Canis lupus familiaris: one gene and its partner. The protein of the gene in region 1 purifies or fractionates together with the protein of each later gene. This does not show direct contact. Links are inferred from orthologs where the notes say so. Each region holds a gene or a part of one and is shown on either strand. Other genes may lie near its edges.

Evidence for each region.
Region 2: the proteins of RNF41 (region 1) and SOGA1 purify together in Homo sapiens (affinity purification with mass spectrometry; 3 studies listed by BioGRID and IntAct, with this or other methods). This does not show direct contact. The link is inferred for Canis lupus familiaris from reciprocal best matches to the Homo sapiens genes RNF41 and MTCL2.

Annotation. Positions count from the first base shown.
Region 1 is NC_049231.1:867,076-870,720, forward strand, and holds part of RNF41 (E3 ubiquitin-protein ligase NRDP1), read right to left. Parts: coding exon 3,437-3,645; intron 2,685-3,436; coding exon 2,549-2,684; intron 2,057-2,548; coding exon 1,953-2,056; intron 1,126-1,952; coding exon 774-1,125; 3' UTR 1-773. UniProt on the Homo sapiens protein: Acts as E3 ubiquitin-protein ligase and regulates the degradation of target proteins. Polyubiquitinates MYD88. Negatively regulates MYD88-dependent production of pro-inflammatory cytokines.
Region 2 is NC_049245.1:26,124,208-26,127,852, forward strand, and holds part of SOGA1 (protein SOGA1), read right to left. Parts: intron 1,364-3,645; coding exon 1,301-1,363; intron 631-1,300; coding exon 1-630. UniProt on the Homo sapiens protein: Microtubule-associated factor that enables integration of the centrosomal and Golgi-associated microtubules on the Golgi membrane, supporting directional migration. Preferentially acts on the perinuclear microtubules accumulated around the Golgi.

The sequences.
Region 1 (3,645 bases):
CCATGCCAGAGGCAGTGCCTACCTGATTTCAGCAAAAGCCAGAGAGCTGCTTCTTGCTGAGCACATCCACCCCAACAGACTAATCCCCTACCCCCAACCCTGTCATTCCCTAGTTATGAAAAAATGTAGGAAAGAAGAGTCACCTAGAAATTTTCAGCATCCCAACCTGCACACCTGCAGAACCAGCAGGAGCCTACACCTGTAAGGTGGGCCGGACAGGATATTGCTTGGCACAGAGGTCCAGTCTTCCCCTAAGGGGGCCAGTTACTGGCCTCATTGCTAATTTCTAGGGTTTTTGATTCCATCCCTACCATTTCTTCAGGATGTCTGCTCCCCAGAGCTGCCCTCTCATGCTGTTTAGTGTCAACCAGCCTGCCTGCTCCGATTCCCTGGTTTTGGAGGAGGGGGAACGATTAGATATTCCTCACTCCACCCTGATCCTCTAGAGAAAATGAATTCTTTGTGCTTTCTAAAAATATCTAGAACCAGGGACCCTAGGCAGGAAAACAGATATAGAGGTGGGGACTTTCCCAAACTGACTGAAAATTTACAGACATCTTAGGGGAAGAAATCAGGCAAAAGGAAGGAATCTGGGTTTCCCACCTGAAAGGTTGAGCAAAGTGCCCTGGGCCCTTCAGTGCCAGAAGAGTAGGGAAACGTGTGGCCCATGTGTAAGCCACGGTACTATGAATAGTAGGGAGGACTCAGGGACCAGCTGCTGGAGTGATGGGTTTTCTGATTGCCATCTCTTCCTGCTAGCCCGTCGAGATCTCCTATATCTCTTCCACGCCGTGCGCAAATATCATGACAAGCCCTGGTTCCTGCACCATGTCATCACCCATGTGCTGGTTCTCACAGGCCATCACGACAACAGCCTGCTTGCCAGGGATACGCTTGGCCACGTAGTTCTCATAGTAGCGCCGGTTCATCTGTCTGGTCTCTAGGGTGGCCAGACCCTGGGGCCAGCTACGCTCGTGGGCATTTTCAATCAGCTCGTTGACAATAGAGGCAGGACAGCCACTCTCCACCAGGGAGCGCTTGATTACAGCCTGGAGTACAGCATCTGGGGTTGAGATCATCCCTCCCCAGCGGGTCACTCTGGCTGGCTGCAGGGAGTTCACCCACCTGTGTGGAGGGGATTAGAGGTGGTCATTCCAGCTCATTCCCCTTCTCTGCATTGGCTTTTTCTCCTGCTCTGCGCTCAGCTCAACCCTGACCTTCCATTTTCCTTTTTCCATCACTGGTTCAGAAACTCCACATCTTTCTAGCTGGTCCCCTAGGAGTCCCAACATGTCACTCAGCAGATTAAACTCTACAAGTGAAGAGTTCCTGTCATCTTTCTTAGAAACCCCAATACATAGAACATACGTGCCTGGCATGTACTAAGTGCTCAGTAAATGTTTATCGGATGAAGCAATTATTCCTGTATACTGTGTCCCACACAGCACCATTTGCATTATATAATATACTGATTCACACTAAGAATTTAGTCTGTGAATCGTACACAACCCCAGCACTGAAACAGATTTTAGACTTTGCTTGTTTATGCTGCATTTTAGATCACTCTCCTGGATTTGCACTCACTCACTCCTCTGGGTTGTAAGCTACCTGACAATAAGGACAGTATTTCCTTCTTCTTGGCCCTCCCAGCACTCCACAGCCTTTTTTTTCCCCACAGCCTTTAACATGGCTTTGTACGTGTGCATACTCACTTAAGTCCAGATGAATTGAATCCTTGGGTAAGCTTTCCCTTCAATCCACCCAAAAGAATTTAAGATCCTATAGTGGTGCTGAAAGTTCTCTTCCTGTCCTTCATCCCAATTATCTGAAACGCCGTGGCCCCAGCCCAGCCCTCTTACTACCCTCCTTCTGCCACTCCCCGGCTCTTCCTCCTTTCAGGGCTCAGTGCCAGGACGTGGAGCAAGTGACTCCATGTCCTGAGTGACACTCACTCTAGGATCTCATTGTATTCAATGGTCTCCTCCAGGTTCTGAAGGTTGGGGTTGACACTGCGGATTGCACGCATGTATGCCTTTAACAGCTGGATATCTCGCTTCTGTGGGTGGGAAGGAGAATCAGAGAGGACGGTTAGGGTAGACAACAAATGGAAGACGAAAGTGTGTCTTAGAATGAGGACAGCTGAGAGATGCGAGGAACAACCAGACCTGTAAGCTTTACAAAGACAGGGATGGGACTGTCTCATTCCTAGTGTAACCCGAGTGCTTGGCGGGGACCTTCTTAGAGGGGGCATTTAATAAATGTTAGGTGAATGAGTAACATTGACGGGATGGAGAAGGAGAAGAGCTCCCATCCGATTCCCAACCAAGCCACAGGCGGAGCATCTGTTCACACAGACACACGAGCACAGGCACAGACCCACCTGCTCACACGGGTGCTTCTTACCCCGTCATCTGCACACACACGTGGCATGTACACACACACACACACACACACACACACACACACACACACACACACACACACACACAGTTGTCCACAGTTACCTGCACATGAGAGGCAGGTTCTCTCAATGATCTCTGGGCCCTACCTGCTCCGCCAGCTGGTGCTTGTGCTCAGCTGAGGTCTTCTCCAGCTCAGCGATGCGTGTCTGCTGCTGCTGTACCACGGAGCGCAGGTGCTTAATGCAGTTGTGGTTTGGCAGCTCATCTTTGGGCATCTCCAGGCTGCCACCCGGAGTGGGGAGGAAAGCAGAACAGGGGCATTCAATGGGTCACGTGGGCGAAGGCAGGAGATGCCGACAGGCTTTTCTCCTAGCCCAGGTGTCTAACATTCAGGCCTCCCTCTTATTTATTCCCTTCACTTCCTTCTCCCCAGCAGCCCCGCCCGTGCCCCCGCCCCCCATGCTCCTTTGCTCTCTACCTTCTCTGGGCCTCTTGCACTTTCTAAGAGTGTTTTATCTGCCACACAGCTCTCCTTTCTTCCTACAGATTCTGCCTATGTACCCATTCCTTCTGAGCAGCCCTAGATTCACAGCCCTAGCTAGACAGCAGCATTTAATCAAATATTTCACAGTCCAAAGAAAGAAAATAACAAGGCGCAAGGAACTATGAGAAGCCTCGAAATTAGAGCAGTCATAGTGACAAAGAAAAAGGAGTACTGGGCTGACGGGGAAGAACAGAGGGAGTCATCCCTTAGTTCTAGCACGCAGATTGGGACCTGCTTCCTCCTCTCTTTCATTCAAACAAGAGCAAAAAGATCCTAGTTGAAAAAGCATCACCGAAGTCAGATCTTAGGGCGGGGAGCCAGGGAGGCCAAGGACGCTCATTGCATACATTCACGCTCGGAGAGCTCCCGAGCTGGTGAGCAGGGGCTCTGGAGATGGGGGACTGGGGACAGGGAGTGTGGGTGCGGGAAGGGTGGTCATCAACCAGAAGGCCCTCATCTGTGCAGGGCAGAGGAAGGGAAGTAATCTCACCCGCAGCCCTGCTCACAGGTCACAGGCCGTTTGGGGTTGTGCTCACAGTCGCTGAGGTGAGACATGAGGTTGTCAAGCCGGACAACAGCACTACAGCCAAACACAGCGTTGTCGCAGGCAATCTGCAGCTTTGACAACATGTTCCGCATGATCCGAGGTACTGGGCGCAAGTGGGCGACCGTCACAACGCTCCGGTCCACTGGACACGT
Region 2 (3,645 bases), on another chromosome or scaffold:
CTTGACCTTACCACTGAGCTCCCCAATCTGCAGCTTGGCAGCTGCCAGCTCCTCCTGCGAGGGCTCACTGAGCACAGAGCAGCTGTCTTCCGACAGCGTCACGTCCAGCTCGTGCTCTGAGCGGTACTTGGCCAGCTCGGTCAGCAGCAGCTTGTTCTGGTCCTCCAGCTCTGCCGAGGAGCGTCGGAGCAGCTCAGCCTCCTCCTCCACAAACTGCAAGTGTCGCCGAAGCTCCGCCAGGCTCTCGCCGCACTCACTGCCACCCAGTGTAGAGAAGGCCAGGCGCGCCTCCGCACCTCCGCAGCCACCGCCGTGATCCTTCATGTCGTCCATCTCTGCCCGCAGGCCTCGGTTTTCTACCTCCAGCTCCACGATGCGGCGGCTCAACAGGTTAGCTTCCTCCTCCACCAGCTTCAGATGTACCTTCAGCTCGGTCTCCCGAGAGTGAGGCGCATCGGCCAGCTCCTCGGCGGACAGAGCGCTGTCCAGGTCACCGTAGAGGGAGCGGTACTTGAGCAGCTCCTCTTTCATGCTGTCGTTCTCCTTGGCGAGCTTGGTGAGCTTCTTGCACATGAGGGCTGACTCCTCCTTTGCAAAGTGCAGCTGGCACTTCAGGTCTGCACTGTCCTCCTGGGGCCCGATGGGCACAGAGACAGACATGATCCAGGAAGGTTAGCATCGCGAGGCTCAGTACCAGCCACAGCATTTTGGGGAGCAATAACTATGTGCTGGGGGTAGGGCAATGAATCCAACTAGGCTCTGACTCTCAAGGAGCAGGGGAAGGAGAGAAGGATACCTCCTTGACATTGCAGCAAAGATGGAGCATAGTACAGCCTGGGAAGTCCAGGCGGGCTTTCTAGAGTAGGTGATATCCTGCCAGGCAACTGTTGCTGCTACTACGACTTCCATTCCTACTAGGGTGTCCTCATTTGTAAAACGGTGCAATAAAATCACTTCCTCATAGAGCCATAGGGAAGATTAAATGAAATAATGCACAAGAAGTGCCTAGCACCCTGACAATCCAGGGCCACTTGAGGCTAACTGTACTCTATGCCTGACCTGTGCTACATCTATATATAGCACTTTATCTGTCAGGATGGGAACCATGGGCTCCGGGCATGGTTTTGGGAAGTGAGGTGAGTATCGAAGCTAAGAAAATGAAAGAGGGTGGGGTTGAGGCTGGGGAAGAGTGGGCACCTCCAGGGACCCCCCAGACCACTTGGAGTTAGGCCTCGGCCCTTCAGATTCAAACCTGCCTGTGGGGGCTGCCCTGGGGGCCATGGGGACCGTCAGGAAATACCTGCACCGAAGGCTTCTTGTCTGTCTTCCCCAGGGAGCGGGTTCCTCTTTTCTTCAAGGAATGCTAGAAAGAAATTAAAACATACAAACAAAACAGAAAGCTCATGTGGGTGATGTGCATCATAGAGTAGTCAAGGTGCCTAGAGTTCCACTGAGGGCCCCCTCCTTGCCCAGCCTAGCCCAGCCACATCCAAGCCTTCACCAGCACCAACCAGTGAGCCAAAGGGGCCTTCTAGAACACCCAGCGGGACAGAAGCATGTGAAGAAAGGACCCTGATCACACCTGCCCAGGGTTCTCCCCCTGCCCCTGCACCCCTACATTAAGATCCAGTTGGCCTGGTCCAAGACCCAGAAATCTGGGTTTCTATTCTTCTGTGCCTTTCATTCTCTCACCAAAGACTTCCTGAGTACCTATTATGTGCCGGGTGCAACTAGGCGTAGAGAACACAGCAGTGATCAAGCCAGAGAGGGTACCCGGGGGAAGATGCTGTGCCACTCCAGCCAGATCCCCTGCCTCCTAAGAACTGGGGTGCGTGTTCCCCTAAACAAGACCTCAAAGATGAGTCCCCTCCCAGTGATGCCATTGGCTGAGGACAGCCACCTCATTCAAGGTCATGTGCCCTCCATAGGGGTGCCCACATGCAATGACTGGTCCATGCCTCCCTGCCTCAATTCAAAACAACTATAAGTAGCTTTCCCAGCTCCAGAGATCCCCACAGGATTAGCTGAGGCCACTGGTATAATTGCTCTGAAGATCCTTGGTGGCATTATTCCCAAGGGGCCTCTTCCATAAGCAGGCAAATCTTCATTTCAGGGGGAATCCTGTCCTCATAGACTTTAACTTGGAATGCATACTAATAAACAAAATGCAAAAAAAATAACTAAAATTAAAATTAAAAATGCATATGGGTAGAACACATCATAATTACACAGGAGGGACTGCTCAATTTTTCACTATTTAAATTGTAAGTTTTCATGCAAAATAACGCAATAATAATCATAATTCAGAAATCCAGAATTGATATGCAAAGAAATTGATTTTTTTTAGAAATGGATACTTTTAATTAGATAAGCAAATTATTTTTTTTTAACTTTTATTTATTTATGATAGTCACACAGAGAGAGAGAGAGAGAGGCAGAGACACAGGCAGAGGGAGAAGCAGGCTCCATGCACCGGGAGCCCGATGTGGGATTTGATCCCGGGTCTCCAGGATCGCGCCCTGGGCCAAAGGCAGGAGCTAAACCGCTGCGCCACCCAGGGATCCCTGATAAGCAAATTCTACATGAAAAAAACGTACCATAGGAAAGTAAAAGTATAAACAATACCGGGGAAAAAATTGCAGTTTATTGCACTGACAAAGGGTTAATATCCTAAATACATAAAGAGCTTCATAGGGATCCCTGGGTGGCGCAGCGGTTTGGCGCCTGCCTTTGGCCCAGGGCGCGATCCTGGAGACCCGGGATCGAGTCCCGCGTCGGGCTCCCGGTGCATGGAGCCTGCTTCTCCCTCTGCCTGTGTCTCTGCCTCTCTCTCTCTCTCTGTGACTATCATGAATAAATAAATAAAATCTTTAAAAAAAAAAAAAAAAAAGAGCTTCATAAAATAGAAAACAAAAGGCCAACAAACCTATATTAAAATGTCTTAGAGATATGAAAAACTGTTCACAGGAAAAGAAAGGTAAATGGCTTATAACCATAGGAAGATGTTCAACCCTATTCAAGATGGAGAAATGCAAATTAAAACTACACCCTGATACCATTTCTCACCTATCAGATTGGCAAAAATTCAATCATCTGACAATGCATTCTATTGCGGAAGTTATGGAGAAGCAGGAAAAGTCCTATATCACTGGGAAGAATGCAAAATGGCACAAGTCCTATGAAGGGAACTTAAGGAAAGGTTACTAATTTTTGTTAAGGTTAATCATTTTTACTAAAGTTTCTTGATGTTTAAAAAAGTCACTCAGGGCACGCCTGAGTGGCTCAGTTAGTTAAGCGATCCACTCTTGATTTCAGCTCAGGTAATGATCTCAGGGTCTGGGATCAGATCCTGCCACACCCCCTACCATGCACTTAGTGGGGAGTCTGCTTGAGATTCTCTCTCAGAAAAAAAATCCTTTTTAAATGAAAAAAAAAATAAATTTTAGAAGTCACTCAGTTAGATGCAAGAATCTGCTGAACACTCCTCCCATGAGAGGGGTGATTTATATTAGTAGTGCATAACTTAGGTTACTTTTGACTTTTCAAGCTCAACGAGTATTTTTTGAGGATGCTTCCAGGTGTTTGAATACATGCTTCCCCATCCCTCCACCTCTCACTCCCATCCCAGAAGGTGAGAACCACTGA